Linked DNA regions of Canis lupus familiaris. The protein of the gene in region 3 interacts with the protein of the main gene of each other region in a biochemical or structural test. Links are inferred from orthologs where the notes say so. Each region holds a gene or a part of one and is shown on either strand. Other genes may lie near its edges.

Region 1 (4,002 bases), on a different chromosome or scaffold from region 3:
TGATATAGATTTCCAGATCATAACCTGCCGGTTCTCTTTTCCAGTGAAAAAGTCAAAACCCAGAAACAATAGTTTTGTTTTTTTTTTTTAAAGCAACCAACCAACCCTTCTTCAAAGAAAGTCTGGTGGGAGAACTGAGGAATATACTTATTACCGTGGCTCTGCAAGACTTCATCTTAATTTCTTTTAATCTGCCTCTTATTCTTCCCCTATCACCCACCCAATTCCTGTTTAGGGTCCGATCGCCTCCTCTACAGACGACTTCAATAGCCTCCTGATTCTGTCAACTCTAATGTCAGAATCCATCCTTTTAACAAATCTCTAAGCTTCTATGCGTGACCCCCCTATAGTTTAATCCATACACATCAGTGTGTCCTTTTAACAGATGACATCACAAATCTGCTCAACACCACCTCTAGCCCTATCTCCCACTGCTCTCCCTTTTGCTCAGTCTGCATATGGCTTCCTTCTTCCTTGAGCAAACATGACATGTTTTTGCACCAGGGTCTTTGCACTGCCTTTGTCCTCTGCTTAGAGCCCTCTTCTCCAAGATATTTGCGTGGCACATTCCTCACACCTCCTGTATGCTTTTGCTTAAAAAGCTTGTGTCTAAGTGAGGCTATCCCTTAATATCTCTTAGTGAGGTTTAAAGTTGTAAACCATCTTCCAACCCCAGGACTTCCAATCCCTCTTGGCTTGTTCTCTACTTGTTTTTGGCCACAGTATTTACCACCTTCTTAACATATTATACACCACATTTATTATGTTTATTGCATCCCCCCTCTCAAACAGAAGCTTCATGAGAGCAGGAATGCTTATGTTTTGTTCCCTGCCTTATCCCCAACACATAGAACGATGCCTCCCACATAGCATGTGCTCAGCAAATATTTGCTGGATTAATGTTTTAAATGACTTACTGGCAAGAAAAACTGATAACCCTAAGTCATTGCACTGTGTTTACCCTATGGCTTTTGTACTCTTCGGATTCTGATCCACTCTGGGAGATACTCAATGACATGTCTGAGAAGCCTGGGGAAATGATATGGTGAGTTCTACATCTGAGTCAGTTCACTCTAGCTCTGGGGATGGATCAGGGGAGGATAAGACTGGAATTATGAGTCCATGCCAATATTCAGGCAAGAGATAATGAGAGTATGAAAAACATCTAGGAGACAAGAGGGAAACATTCAATGATTGGTTGGGGGCTGGAAGATGGTGGGAAGGGACTGGCCCTCAGGTTTCTGGCTGGGTGACTGAACAGATAATGTGGGCAGTAATGGAGACAGATCAAACCAGAAAAATCCCACTTGGGAGGTCCGAGGGATATAAGGCCCTACTCCTAGTTTAACATTCACGTTAGTAGTCCTTTGACAAATAACTAAAGCAATTATGGCAACAAACTCAACTGAAGCTACAGAGCAACGGAATATAAATAACAAAAATCCTACAAGATTATTGCTTATGTTCCCATTTAACAATGGCACTGAGCTGGCCTTTGAACACGCAGATTCCCTTCAAAGGGAAGGAGGCAGGAAGATCTTCTGGGTTAAAATTTCACATGGGTTAAAAGTCAATTGTGCACCTGGAAAATATATACCTACCAAGATTCCTGTAGATTTCAGTGACAAAGGGTTGTCCCATTGCTTTGGAAATCGACTTCAGAAGTAGGCAATTTTAAAAGCGTGCCATCCTAAAGATCGCTTAACAAAGATTAGCAATAAATAGTTCAGTCCACTTCTTAAGTGACCGACAGTTTTACCCTCATACCTTACCTGGAAAGCTGTCTCGATTTAGCTTAGGCCTGCGGACTATGACAAAGTCCTTGTCATTCCCCTTGCTTTTCAGCCGTTTTCGGGGCGGGCTCTGAGGGTGGCCCAGATTTGAGAGCAGTTCCTGGGGGATATTCTCACTGTCCACCTCCTCCTTCTCCAGAGCAGAGACCCCCATGCCCGACAGCAGTTCAGAAGTCTTACTAGAATCCCATCCCCACGTGAAGCTGGTGGTAACGTTGCTACTCTGGTCTGGAATCTCCTGGAGGTGTTTCCTGCAGAAATGCACAACAGCCCCGGTTTCTTTCAAAAACACACCCGTAAATAATTCAAAGATAGGCCTACATGAAACTCTAAGTTATGCAATGCAGAAAACTTTAAGAATTGCATTTTTTTTTAAAGTGCCGGCGGCGAGTTTCCAAGAAGGAAAAAAAGAAAATAACCGAACAAATCAAAAAGGCTTTTTGATTTACGATCACGGAGAAGGCCTCAAGAATGTCTTAAAGTGGAGGGAACAGACAAGCGGGGGGGGGAGGACGGGGGGGGGGCAAACGTACACCGGCAGGAAAGCTCAATAAGGGAAGGCAAAAACCGCACGCTGATCACCGCACTAAAGCATCCGGCCCCCCACACTTTCCCAAAGAAGGGGCTGAGCAACGATTCAATTACAACATTCACAACAGTATTAGCGCGTAGCAATATTCGCGGCCTAAAAGAATTGAGGCGGTTCATTCACTCTCAGCCCCCTTTTGCAATCGGTTTACCTATGCATGGCGTCCACAGCTTCTGGAGTTTTAAACGCGTGCATTAATTGCAGAACTGCACGCCTCCGGGATTCCCGCTTTGGCGCGCGGCGGCTCAAGGCGTGCAGCTCCGACCCCCAGCAGCGAGACCCGCGAACTCTAGCAACGTTCCATCCTCGCCGCGCGCGCGAGGGCTCTTCTACTCGCCCTCCGCCGCCGCCGCCGCCGCCGTCGGCCGCCCCGCTGCCTGCCGGGAACTGTAGTTTCCGTCTTGCCTCGTAGTCCCGCCGGCTCTGCGCGACGTCCTTCCTCGGCTGACTTTACCCGCCTCGGAGATACCCACAAGCCCCCGCGCCCGCGAGGCGGGGCCGTCCACGCGGTAGGCGGGGAAGCGGAAGTGGGCGGCGCTCCGGCTGCCTGGGAAATGTCAGCCGCCTGACTGGGGACGGATTTTCCTTACCCCGGAGCCTGCAGGCCTTTCTAGTGGTCGTCACCGCCGTCGCCCCGGATCGCCGGTCGCAGGTCCGGGACGGCTGTGGCGGACGCGGGGTTCCCGGTCCTTGTGCGGACGCTGTCTGGCCTGATGGGGAGGGCGTGAGCCCTGTGGGGTCTGCGGTCTGAGGCCGGGCGCTGGCGGAGATCGAGAGGACCTCGGAGACCCCGAGCCGCCGCCGCCGCCGCCACCGCGGGCCTTCGTTCCCGGCCACCGAGTGGAGGCGGCAGCCCGGTCCGCCGGCCAGGTGAGACGATGAGGGCCGCGGGCGTCCCACTTGCGCCCCCCCGCCCCCCCCCCGCCGCCGCCGCCGCCGCCGCGAAGCTGCTTCCTCCATCTGGGAGATAGTGACCCTTAGCACTGCGGGTCACCAGGTGCCTGTTCTGTAGGCACTACGGCTCCGAGGTTCCTCCCGAGAACACGCCTGACGTGAGGGGCAGATTACGCTTGTGGAAGCGCTTTGTAAACTAAAGCGCGGTTGGAAGGAGAGGCGGTGGCTTAATTTTAGGGGAGCAGGAGAACACGGCGGTTGCCACGGTGTGCGGTGGGACAGCTGCGCAGCCCCCTGGCAGCCCAGACGAGCTTGGGAACAGCTAAGGGGACGGTCGGTAGGTCTGTGAGGGCCGTGGAGCGCCACGCTCGGGGCCGCTGGGCTGCTCGCGCTCCGCCGACGACGTCCGGCGGCGTCGCCGTCTGAAAGGCGAGCTGCTGCGAGCCTGTCGCCGCCCGGGAGAGCCTGGGGGCGGCCAGAGCAGGGAGTGTGCCGCATTCCAGGTCGGATGACCGTGCGAAATCCACAAACGGTGACCCCTGGAGAACAGTGGAAGGGAGAGGGGAATAAATTCCAACCTTCAATTAAAAAAAATTAAAAAAAAAAAAAAAGGAGAGGATTGATCAAGTTCAGAAGTAAGCAGAGCCCTCTGCTAAGTCATCACAAAAATAGAGTATTGCTTGAGCATGCAGTACGACAATACCTTCAAGAACCAGTGTGAAAAAA
Region 2 (4,229 bases), on a different chromosome or scaffold from region 3:
ACTGCTAATGAGAGTTTAAATTGTTTTTCTCTGGAGGTCGGTTTGGCAGTTCCTATCCTTTGACCCAATCATTCTCACTTCTATGAGTCTATCTTAAAAAAAAAAAAAAAAAAAAAAAAAAAACCCCCAGTCCTCAAACAACACAGACCCCCCACCAAAAAAAAAAAAAACAACCAACCAACCACACGAGAAGTTAGAATTTTTGCGATGGGGTTATTTACAACTGAAAAATTCCAAGAAACTTGTGTGTGCGACGATAAAGGGCAGACGAAATCACAATTTGACGAAGTACTGGAGGTATTTTTTCTCAACTTGCGTTTAAGTTTGCAGTGAGGTGGGCCAATCTCCTTTGCCAACACTTGCCCACGTGCTGGCAAACAAATATAAACACCGCGGCGGCGTGGAGGGCCCGGGCTTCGGGCTTCGCGCTGGGGCCGCTGCTGTTTACTCGGGTGGACGAGTCTCGGGTGGGCTGCCGAGGGGGCCACGGCCTGGGGGAAGCAAGCTCGCCTCGCTGGGGGCCTACCCGACCCTGCAGCTACCCTGGGGGGAAACCGAGGCTCCGGAGGCCTTCCCCACGGCCGCCGTCCCCGCCTCGAGCCCTCCCGGGCCGGCCTCCTTGCTGACTTCGGCGTCGCCTCTAAGCCCCGGGCTCAGCTCGCAAAGTTCCTGAGGCCCGAGTCGCCACTTCCGGCTCCAACCTCTACGGGGGAACGAGACTGCCCACAGCCACGCCCACAACGCCCCGGCCGCCCGCACCACGGGGACGCGGCGGCCACAGGCCGCACTCCCGGGGCAGAGCGCGAGAGCCGCGGGAGTTCCCAGGTCCCACCTCAGGCCCCGGAGCGCTGAGGGACCGCGAGCGGGCCACCTCCAGGCGGGGTGCGGCTGGGCCTAGCCGAGCCCGGGACCTTTCGCCCCTCCCAGAGGGCCGCCTCGGCTCCCCCGCCCGGCCCCGACCGGGCGGCGCCGGGCTAGGCTCCCAGAAGTCCGGCTCCCTCATAGGCCCGCGGCGCCGCGCCGCGCCCGCCCGAACGGCCGAGGGGGGGGGGGGGGGGCGGAGCCAGCGGGTTCGCGCCAAAATCGCGTAGTTGATCCCTCCCCCGCGGCCTACGTCGCGCCCTCCTTTTTTTTCAAACCCGAGGCTGGGCGTGGATTGGTGGGTCAGGCCCTCACGTGGTTAACGGTCGCGGGAAGCCGCGGAGCCCGAACCTGCGGAGCCCGGACCTGCGGCTGGACCTGCGGAGACCCCAGCCTCGGTGCCCAGGCCGCCCCGCCTCTGCTGGACAGGCCGCGCCGCTGCCGCCACCGCCGCCGCCGCCGCCGCCGCCCGCAGCCCCGAGCGCTCCGGAGCCGCACCCCGTCACCGCGCAGGTCCGCCGCCGCGGCGACCCGGCGCGCCCAGTCGCACGTGGCGGACCCGCCCCCTGGGCCGTCCGCGTCCTGGACTCCGCGGGCTCCGGCTCTCCGGTCCTCGGCCCCGGCCCCAGGGGCGCGATGAGCTTCCTGAGCCGGCAACAGCCGCCGCCGCCCCGCCGCCGTCCCGGGGCTTCCTGCACTTTGAGGCAGAAGCTGATCTTCTCGCCCTGCAGCGACTGTGAGGAGGAGGAGGAGGAGGAAGAGGAGGAGGGCAGCGGCCACAGCACGGGGGAGGACTCGGCCTTCCAAGAGCCCGACTCGCCGCTGCCGCCCGCGCGTAGCCCCACAGAGCCCGGGCCCGAGCGCCGCCGCTCGCCGGGCCCGGCCCCCGGCAGCCCCGGGGAGCTGGAGGAGGACATGTTGCTGCGGGGCGCCTGTCCCGGCGCCGACGCGCCGGGCGGCGGGGCCGAGGGCGACTCGTGGGAGGAGGAGGGCTTCGGCTCCTCGTCGCCGGTCAAGTCGCCGGCAGCCGCCTACTTTCTGGGCAGCTCGTTCTCGCCGGTGCGCTGCGGCGGCGCGGGGGACGCGTCCCCGCGCGGCTGCGGGGCGCGCAGGGCCAGCGAGGGCCCCTGCTCGCCGCTGCCGGACCACCCCGGCACCCCGCCGCACAAGACCTTCCGCAAGCTGCGGCTCTTCGACACGCCGCACACGCCCAAGGTGAGAGGACGCGGGGCCGGGGCACCGCGAGCCCGCGCCCGCCCAGCCATTTAAAAAGGCCGCGGCGCCGGGAGCCGAGCGCGCCGCTGCTCGGGTTCGGTTACATAACCGCCCTGCCGCACCCCTACTCGCTCCCCTGAGCCGCAACAAAAAGTTGGCAGCCCCTCTTTTTGGCCCTGCCCAGAAGTTGTCCGTTAAGATTATGTAACTGAACAATGGGCCTCTTCTGGAACTTCTTCATCTTTCAAAGGGGCTGATCGGCGCCGTCCAGGTGGCTGATGATTTCACGCCCCTCGAGTCGGGGCCTTCCCGACCGTGTCAGCCCGGAGTGTGGCCCTGATAACGTGGTTTGGAAGGATGTCGGAGTGGTGCTGGCCCGGCCACCTGACACTCCCGAGCGCCGCAGCCATATGGTGCCTTTTAAACGCCGTGATGGGCCCTGTAATTTGGGCGGCGCAAGCAGGAGTTGGGTTAAAAGAAATTTCATGCGCTTATCGCTTCGTGTCATGTGGCCTTAAGGGGTTAAGTTTGAGGTATGGAGGGAGAGTGCGCTTCGACTTGGGAGAAAAGGCTGGCTTTCCAAGCATTTCCAGTCCTAAAGACTCCTTAATTCAGGGTAGCGTTTAAGCTTCTATCCGCACATGCTATTTATTATTGGGTAAGCGTTTGTTTACACCGGTTTGCAGTGCCTATGTGTGGCCAGCCTAAGTGTAGCGATTAGGGACATCCGTTAAAAGCCAGCATTGGTGGGGTTGCTTGGACCCTTGTGGTTTCATATCGCTGATAACCTATCGTGATGATGAAGGTGTTCAGCACTTGTTTGTTGAGTAGCGAGTGAATATGCAGATTACTGCCTCTGGAACATTGGAAGTAACAGCAGATTTTAAAACGGACCCTTCAACGACATTGAGACAAGTATCGCGTTTATAAGACTAATATGGAAAATGTACTTTTCTGAGTCCCTTGCAGTGCCTTTGGTCGTAAACCTCAGGAAGAAGTAGTTTTTGAGCGTTACTGTTTATCAGGGACTTGCCCAAGGCATGATCCCTCTGAATGTGAGGGGAGGAGTCCGGCGGAGGTGGTTTTCAAAGCCCTATTTGGAAGGGGGGAAGGGAGCTTTTATTGGGATCCTTGACTGCTTTCTATTTTTAGATGGAATGAGAGGTTTTGTTAACTTTTAGACTGCAGAATAAACTTAATTTTAGTCTGCATTCCTATTCTTTTTTAGGGTCGGAAACTTATTTTATGTGGCAGTCTTTTTCAGGAAAAGTTGTTAGTATCCACCTTTCAGACTGCTGAAGTTAACCAGGGTTTGTTTTGCTTCAGATGTGACAGAAGCTTGTGTGTTGCTTTAATCCACACTATCAGACATGTGAAAGGCTTGTTGAAGGTTGGGTTGAGAAGGCTGTCTACAGGATTTAGAGACTAAAAATTTTATTTTTCCTGACCTAGAGTTTACTCTCCAAAGCTCGAGGAATCGATTCCAGCTCTGTTAAACTCCGAGGTGGTTCTTTATTCATGGATACAGAAAAATCAGGAAAAAGGGAATTTGACATGCGACAGACGCCTCAAGTGAATATTAATCCTTTTACCCCAGATTCTGTGTTACTTCATTCCTCAGGACAGTGTCGTAGAAGAAAACGAACACACTGGAATGAGTAAGTTATTTAGTATTCCACAGTTTGGTCCCCAGTCACCCAAGATTGGTTTGTGGTACTTATCAAACTTTAATTTTATCTGAATGACTTGGAAGTTTATGCTTTGAATTTTTTTTTTTTTTTTTTTTGTTAACTAGCACCCTCTTCCCAGGAAAGGTGGGTGGAAAGTAATCAGCTATGGAAAAGTAACGGTATGAAAAAGGAAGGAATAAAAAGCCTAAGTAGTTTGTAGAAAATCTGCTGGTGTCAAAAACAAGGCAGGCAGAGTTGATTTAGAAAAACTTTAATTTTGATACGTGTGATTGTGTTGGCTTGTTAATGAGCCTATTTCAGCAGGGACAGCATTTCCATCAGCTGAGCTATATCTTATGATTATAAAATTATGTGCTTGCTTGTCTGTTTTTATTCGTTTTACTTATTTATTTTTTCTGTTTTTATTTATTAAAATACAATTTCACTGTATATCAGATAAAGTTTTGGATCGCTAGTTGATGT
Region 3 (3,999 bases):
ATATCTACGGCTGTGGAGTAGTACTTGCAGCCCAGAAGGATTTCAGGTGCTCGGTACCACAGGGTCACCACCTGGGAACAAGAGCAAGAAGGGGAGAGGTGGTGCATGGGGCACAGTGATTCCCACATGTCAGCTCCTCGGTGTTACTCTGCTAGTTCTCAGCCTGATCACAAGCAGCTTCTCTCCCTCTATCTTTCTTTTCCCATCTTTCTGACTTCCCCTGCGTAAAGTGATTACACACAACTTCTTAGACCAGAGTTAGCCTCGCCTGTGGCTCCAAAGACCCTATTTTCTGAACCCAAAACTTTCAACCTTCCTGGAAAACTCCTGAGAGAAGTGGTCATAATTTTAATGATATGCCATCCAGCTCTGCTGGCTTGGTACCTACTGAAGCCCAGCTAGCCCCGCAATATGAACTCAGTGCATACTCTAAAACCTCCTGGGGTGCCAGAGATACTTTCATCTAGGGAGAGAGAAACTGCTGGCCAGATAGGTTTAGTCATTTTGTAAATGTCCTTGTTAACACCTCCCAGAAAGTTCAGAGAAGAAGTGCAGACAGGGTCTCACCTCATGGGTGTAAGTACGAACAGGGACTCCAAAGGCTCTGGCTAATCCAAAGTCTGCTAGCTTGATGGCCCCCTCTGCGTTGATAAGCAGATTCTGAGGTTTGAGGTCTCGGTGCAGAACCCGATGAGAATGGCAGAAGGCTAGGCCCTGGAGCAGCTGGAACAGATAGCTCTGACGAAGGAGAGAGAGAGGACTTTGTTTCTCGACCACAGTGAGCTATTAGGCTCCACTCTGCCTGCAAAGCTGTACTAAAGCCTTTTACTGTATTAGATTATAATTGCATGTTTATAAGCTGTATCTCCCATTGGACTGCTAGTCTAGTGAAGATAAGGACTGGGTCCTATTTAGTTTTGCATCTCTTTTCCATATTCTGTGCCTAGCACATTGAAGGTGTTCAGTAAATGAGCACCGAATAAATGTTTGTTGATAGATTGAAAATAGCTCAGGGAGCAGAGAACCCAGCCCTAAGACAGACAACAGAGACTCACTGGCTATTTCTCCTACCAAACTAGTGGAAGGGGTTCTTGGAGGAATCTACCAAGTACCAAGTACCCTCCAGTCTCGTTTATCTGAGTTTCATCTGACCTTCCACCTGAGCTACAAAGTTGACTCACTAGAGTTTCAACTTCTTTGATTCTCCTGCCCTGCCCAGGGGTTAATAAGCATAATGAGCAGTGAAAGAGCCACAAAAGAAAGGTGTGTGTGTGTGTGTGTGTGTGTGTGTGTGTGTGTGTGTGTAGGGGGATGAGGGCTGGGAAGGAAGCTAAGATCACAGATCATCACCCAGTCTGAATTGCCTGCCTTCAGTCCCCCCAAAACGTGCCCATGTTGGGGGAGGAGTTGATGAGAAGGATTACCTTGATGAGGGGAAGAGGAATGCCAGTCAAAGCAGAAGCATCCATAAATTTCTTCAGATCCTGGTGCAGAAATTCAAAAACCAGGTAGAGTTTGTTTTCTGTGTGGATGACATCCAATAGCCTAGGGAGGGAGGTCCAGGAATGGAGGTGAGGAAGAGCGATGCCCCGGCCTCACAGAAGACATTCTCTTTTACCGCTGAAATATCTCCCAGACACATACTTACTTGACAATGTTCGGGTGGTTAAGCTCCTTAAGCAGGGAGATCTCTCGTATAGCAGTACTGGGTACACCCTCCGTCTCACTTGGGGAGGTTGAGAAAGCAGAGAGAGGAATGTGGTTACAAATACTGCTTTTCCCCCAGCCCAGTCTCCGAACGAGACACCACCCCAGCACACCCTAGGAAAGTGACAGAAGAGAAAGGGGGCTGTAGGAGTTAATTCACAGGTGGACAGGGGGGTGCTTTTTGGATACGTTAAGGTCATTATTTCTTCTTCTCCCACGGGTAGGTAAGTAAAGCCTTCTGGTGGAGGTGAAGAAGAGAGAAGGTAACGGGAGGAAAGAAGAGTAGCAGCACCCAGCCTCCCTAGACGGGCCAGTGAGGTTCAACTGCCATTCTTTTGAAAGGGGTAGAGAATTCTAAGAGGAGGGTGGGGTTGGGGCAGTGAGGAGGGCTCTTCATTCAGAAAGGTGCTCTTCACCGGTTCCCACAGACCTCAACTCCACGGGGAGTCTTGGACCCCCACCTCAGAGGCCTCCTTCCTCTTCCTGAGTCTTTCGGACTACACGTTTGGGGGCATCACTCGGCTTTGGGGAGAAAGTTTCCCACAGACTCTACAGTGCCCTATACTCTGCACAGGGAAACCCTTCACTGTCCTCCAGCCCACCTCTCCACTTCGAAAGAAGTCCCACCCTGCTACCTTCCGGTCCTCGGACGGCTACCCGCCTGTCGGGGTGGGGGCGGGGGGCACTCAAGAAGCTCCGGAGTTAGAGGAGTCCCGGGTACAGAGGCCACTCACGTGTCCAGGCGGATTTTTTTAAGCGCCACCACTTCTCCCGTCACTTTGTTTTTGGCTTTGTACACAACTCCGTACGTGCCCTCTCCGATCTTTTCCACTTTTTGGAAGTTCTCCATGAAGCAAGCGCTAGAGTCGGGTCAGCCCGGCCCCGGAGCGGGGGCCTGGGAACCCAGCAAAAGGCGGGCCCCGGCTCTCGGGGGCTGGAGGAGGGGAAACAGGGCCCAGCTCCGCGGCCTCAGGTCGGGATGGAACGGAGTGTATCTCTCGCTCTTGTCAATTTGTCCAACTTGAAACAATGTTGCCGCCTCCCCTCGGGTTCCCTACCGCCAGTGGAGGCCCCGCCCCTCCTTCCCGCGTTTCCCTGGCCCCGCCCCCGGCCCTTCCCATTGGCCAGCGTCAGAGCGGGGGGGCGAGCCCAGCGCGTCGCTGCCGCCAGTGACCCCACCTCGCGCAAGGTTACTACCGAGGGTCTTCGATACAAGTTTGTCACCTTGGGGAAGCTAAATAAACGTCTTTTTCCAAGTACCCAATTTGGAGTCGAGCTTCCTTCCTGTGTCCTGGGCCTGGAGGGATTTCCTGACCTCTGATTCGCCAACCCCAGAGAAAATGTGTCTTGCCCTAAGATTGAATTCCACCTGGCCCAGGGAACCGCCTTTGAAAAGCAGGAAGCTAGGAATCTCATCGTATGGGTGTCCTGGGCCTTGGACACGTCGTTCGCGCCCCTCTCTGCCTATCCTATCCTATCTCTCTGTTTGGAGATGCAGGGTCTCCATCTGTTTGAGAGGTTTCCTGGTTTGACTCAAAAACCAGATTGATCCCCTTAGCCTGTGGTGCACTGCAGGCGTCGAGTACACACGATGTAGCTAGCTGCCCTGCAGTCCATGTTTCCCCGGTCAAGAAGGTCGTGACCCAGTGAAACCAGAAACTGTCATTGAGTAGCGGGATGTCCAGGGACCAGGATCCCTTTTCAGTTATTTCTCTGGCCCTCCTGCCCCTCCCAAGCCTCTCCAGGAGGGAAAGGAGGATGGGCTATGCAAATGAGCACCCCTCTCCTATATAGGGGCTTGTCCCAGCACCCCCAGCGCCTTTGGTTGCTGGAAGAAAGAACAAGATGAATCTGGTGCCGAGAAAATGCCTTCTCCATGTGGCTGTGATGGGTGTTCTTCTGGCTGTGGGGGCCACAGAAGGTTAGTGTGGGGAGTATGGACATGAACAAGTGGGAGTTTGGGGTTGCACACCTGCTCTGATTTTTCTCCCTCCTCATGGGAGATACCAGCAATATTTCAGGCTTCTTCCACCCATTTGATTTAGCGAGGACATGGGCATCTGAAGTCCCTCTCTAGGTGGAAATTTGGGACTGAGCCTGAAAATAATCCCATCTGCTTGGAAGGGCAAAAGGATAGTAGGTCTTTGGGGCTCTAATTCTGAGACACCCCCACCCCACCCCCGGGGCAATGAGCTGGAGCAGGGGCTTTGAAAGGGAAATAAGTGGAAGACTTAGGGAATGACTCAGGCACTTGGGATAGGGTATTTAAAAGAAAGGAGTAAGAGAATGTGG
Region 4 (3,419 bases), on a different chromosome or scaffold from region 3:
GAAGCTCTGACAATAAGATTTTCACTGCAAGTTCAGGGTTATTTTTCATTTTCACCTTAAATTTGCAGTTTTCTCAGTAATTAACTCCATGGATGACTCTTAGAATTTGGATGTTAAATGAAATATGCACAATAAAATTAATTTGGAGTGCTTGATGTTTGTAACTTAAAAAAAAAAAAAAAAAAAAGGCTAGATCCTATTGAAAACATACAAGGCCAAAATGTAACTCTGTGCAAAATTAGAGTGTGTACAAAAGCCTTCAGATGAAAATGTGCTTTTGCCTAACTCTAAGTCAGGGTAAAGGCAGTATTAGTTTTCTTTGGAAAGTGTGGATGGCTCTTAAAAAAAAAAAAAAGCCTTTGGGTGTCTGACGAATACCTTTTCCGCTGGCGGGCTCACTTGGACCTGGTGTACTTCTTAAACTTGACTGCTTTGACATGGTGGAAAATAACTAACCCTCCCCTCCCCAACACCTCCACTCCCCTCCAACAAAAGCCAAAAGGGGAAAGAATAACAGTTACTACGTGCAGTCTTTACTCACAGCCTCACGCGAAGGAGATTAAACTCTAGTGATTTGTGGTAAATTCTGGATAGCATCCTGTAGCTATCCAATCAAAATAAGGGTATTTGAAAACCAGAATTGCATTGGTTCTAATGAAAGTCGAAGTTCAGCCAATAGGACAGCTTCATTTTGGCGCCCAGTAAGGACTATAATAAATACTGAAACTTGGTCTCCATCTGTTCCGATCCAAGTCACTGTTGTCTGTCATCATGTCAGGTCGCGGGAAGCAGGGCGGCAAGGCTCGCGCCAAGGCCAAGACGCGCTCGTCGCGCGCCGGGCTCCAGTTCCCGGTGGGCCGCGTCCACCGCCTGCTCCGCAAGGGCAACTACGCGGAGCGGGTCGGGGCGGGCGCGCCGGTGTACCTGGCGGCCGTGCTGGAGTACCTGACGGCCGAGATCCTGGAGCTGGCGGGCAACGCGGCCCGCGACAACAAGAAGACGCGCATCATCCCGCGCCACCTGCAGCTGGCCATCCGCAACGACGAGGAGCTCAACAAGCTGCTGGGCCGCGTGACCATCGCGCAGGGCGGCGTCCTGCCCAACATCCAGGCCGTGCTGCTGCCAAGGCTAGGAGGAAAAGAATTAGACTTCTATAGTAAAAAACTCCCAAACCAAAATATTCCCTGGGAAACGGTGGGACCACAGTTGTAGTACCGAACCGTAGCACCGAACCAATTGGTTCGACCGCACACAGCGCAGGGTTTTCCAAAATGCCTTATATTAAGCTACATAACCATTACCAAGATTTGTGTCTAAGTGTACAGCTGTTTTTAAAAAAACCTGGGTGGCTCTGAAAAGAGCCTTTGGGGCTTTGTCGGCTTTTTCAAGGGGCAAAAACTTCCTACTTCTTTTTCGGGGCCGCCTTCTTGGCCTTGGCAGGTTTGGGCTTCGCGGCCTTTGGCTTCGCAGCCTTTGGCTTGGCGGCCTTGGGCTTCACCGCCTTGGGCTTGGCAGGACTCTTGGCCGCCTTCTTAGGCTTGGCAGACGTTTTAACTTTCTTAGGGCTCTTTGCTACTTTTTTGACACCGGCGGCTGCAGGCTTCTTGGCCTTCTTGGGGGTCTTCTTCACGGCTTTCTTCGCCCCCGCCGCTTTCTTGGGTTTCTTAGGAGTGGCCCCGGAGGGCTTCTTGGCTCTGGCCGCGCCCGCCTTCTTGGCCTTGGGCTTGGCCTCCCCGGAGGCCGCCTTCTTGTTGAGCTTGAAGGAGCCCGAGGCGCCGGTGCCCTTGGTCTGCACCAGGGTCCCCTTGCTCACCAGGCTCTTGAGGCCCAGCTTGATGCGGCTGTTGTTCTTCTCCACGTCGTAGCCGGCGGCCGCCAGCGCCTTCTTGAGCGCGGCCAAGGAGAGACCGTTGCGCTCCTTGGACGCGGCCACCGCCTTGGTGATGAGCTCGGACACCGGGGGCCCGGACGCCTTGCGCTTCGCAGCGCCACTGCCCGCTGCCTTCTTGGTGGCCTTCTTTTTGGCAGGTGACTTCTCCACCGGCGCCGGGACAGCCGTCTCAGCGGGAGCAGTTTCCGACATGGCCGAGAGCAGAAGCCGCTGCAGGAAGAGAACCGGAAAAACGAAAGAGCAGGTCTTGCAATGCTGCCTGACTCCGGCCAGGGGCTTATATAAGCCGGTGCTGCTCTGTGATTGGTGGAGCGTCCAATCCACTGCCCTCAGGCAGCCGCCCTTCGCGGTTGGACTCCCAAATTGTGTTTGTTAGCTCCCAAAATCTGATTAAATACTGAAAATTATTATACAGAATTTGACGTGTTGAAGCTCTCAAGGAAGAAAACAGTCTCTAGGTTCACATGCGGATTCGTGTTTTCATGAATCATGTACAACAGATGAAAGATTTTTCTTTTTAAATCTTTTCAGTTTTTCATAGGAATCCACTGGGTTTAAGGCATTATGGTAGTTAGTTCAAAGTTGCAGTAAGTTCTACTAAGTATCAAGTGGACATGTTAAAAAATGTCCCTAGGTCTGCACTTTGATTTTTGTAAGAGGAAAGACACAGGTTCTCGGTTTGGGAATAAACTGTAGTTAGTAACACAGAGGGAGGGCAGCAGCTTGCCTGCAGCCCCAAATTAACCACATAGATCCTCCTTCAAAAGCCAGTTCTGCCTCCTGGGAGTTTTCACACGCCCGATGTCTTTAGAGAATGTCTTTGGCTGTTTGGGAAAGTTTAGTAGCCAGAATGATATCTACCTTGCAGCAGGAGGAGGAGGAGGAATAGCTTTGGCTTGAGGATCCAATGACCTGAATTTGAATTAAAACTTAAATTTGATATGTTTTTTATTGAGATGCTTTCTACCTTTAGTATTAGGCAAATCCATTATAATAAATGGGAAAGATGCTTAGCACAGATAAAGTGCTGGAGGAAAACCTCAAACCTGCTGGAAGTATTCAAGGGCTTCAGGAGTCCTCAAAAACACAGACTGTAGGTGACATGGGACTCTGTCAGACTTCCAAGGTACTCTTCCCAATACTTCCCAATTCAAAGTCCTTATCTCCATCAATATGTAATAAAGTGCGCTGTCAGAAACACCTTTCTGTAATGTGAGCATTATTGTGTTATGAGCTAGGAGAGACCTTATTTAAGAGAAATAGGTGGCTACGGACTATGAGAAGACTGGATTGGCAATTGAAGGAATACAAGTTATAGACACTCAGAAGTAGTCAAGAATACAACATCCGGGAAGCTGGGTGGCTCAGTGGTTGAGCATCTGCCTTTGGCTCATGACGTGATCCTGGGATTGAGTCCTACATCAGGCTCCCCAGAGGGAGCCTGCTTCTCCCTCTGCCTAATTTTGCCTCTCTCTAGGTGTCTCTCATGAATAAATAAAATCTTAAAAAAAAAAAAAAAAAAAGAATA

The links. The genes of interacting proteins can lie anywhere in the genome.
Region 1: the proteins of CDK2 (region 3) and SKP2 form a complex in vitro, tested with the Homo sapiens proteins (3 studies listed by BioGRID, with this or other methods). The link is inferred for Canis lupus familiaris from reciprocal best matches to the Homo sapiens genes CDK2 and SKP2.
Region 2: of the proteins of CDK2 (region 3) and WEE1, one has a biochemical effect on the other in vitro, tested with the Homo sapiens proteins (3 studies listed by BioGRID, with this or other methods). The link is inferred for Canis lupus familiaris from reciprocal best matches to the Homo sapiens genes CDK2 and WEE1.
Region 4: of the proteins of CDK2 (region 3) and H1-5, one has a biochemical effect on the other in vitro, tested with the Homo sapiens proteins (15 studies listed by BioGRID). The link is inferred for Canis lupus familiaris from reciprocal best matches to the Homo sapiens genes CDK2 and H1-5.

Annotation. Positions count from the first base shown.
Region 1 is NC_049225.1:73,293,850-73,297,851, forward strand, and holds the start of SKP2 (S-phase kinase-associated protein 2), read right to left. Parts: upstream 2,801-4,002; 5' UTR 2,578-2,800; coding exon 2,534-2,577; intron 2,045-2,533; coding exon 1,773-2,044; intron 1-1,772. UniProt on the Homo sapiens protein: Substrate recognition component of a SCF (SKP1-CUL1-F-box protein) E3 ubiquitin-protein ligase complex which mediates the ubiquitination and subsequent proteasomal degradation of target proteins involved in cell cycle progression, signal transduction and transcription.
Region 2 is NC_049242.1:33,444,164-33,448,392, forward strand, and holds the start of WEE1 (wee1-like protein kinase), read left to right. Parts: upstream 1-1,429; 5' UTR 1,430-1,497; coding exon 1,498-2,076; intron 2,077-3,528; coding exon 3,529-3,734; intron 3,735-4,229. UniProt on the Homo sapiens protein: Acts as a negative regulator of entry into mitosis (G2 to M transition) by protecting the nucleus from cytoplasmically activated cyclin B1-complexed CDK1 before the onset of mitosis by mediating phosphorylation of CDK1 on 'Tyr-15'.
Region 3 is NC_049231.1:651,315-655,313, reverse strand, and holds the start of CDK2 (cyclin-dependent kinase 2), read right to left. Parts: upstream 2,801-3,999; 5' UTR 2,558-2,800; coding exon 2,442-2,557; intron 2,315-2,441; exon of another isoform or gene 2,169-2,314; intron 2,112-2,168; exon of another isoform or gene 1,908-2,111; coding exon of another isoform or gene 1,897-1,907; intron 1,727-1,896; coding exon 1,649-1,726; intron 1,546-1,648; coding exon 1,425-1,545; intron 739-1,424; coding exon 568-738; intron 72-567; coding exon 1-71. Other genes in the region: melanocyte protein PMEL precursor, read left to right, coding at 3,553-3,628. UniProt on the Homo sapiens protein: Serine/threonine-protein kinase involved in the control of the cell cycle; essential for meiosis, but dispensable for mitosis. Phosphorylates CABLES1, CTNNB1, CDK2AP2, ERCC6, NBN, USP37, p53/TP53, NPM1, CDK7, RB1, BRCA2, MYC, NPAT, EZH2.
Region 4 is NC_049256.1:26,525,924-26,529,342, forward strand, and holds H1-5 (histone H1.5), read right to left. Parts: upstream 2,130-3,419; 5' UTR 2,084-2,129; coding exon 1,403-2,083; 3' UTR 1,213-1,402; coding exon of another isoform or gene 772-1,212; 3' UTR 501-771; downstream 1-500. Other genes in the region: H2AC16 (histone H2A type 1-H-like), read left to right, coding at 772-1,212. UniProt on the Homo sapiens protein: Histone H1 protein binds to linker DNA between nucleosomes forming the macromolecular structure known as the chromatin fiber. Histones H1 are necessary for the condensation of nucleosome chains into higher-order structured fibers.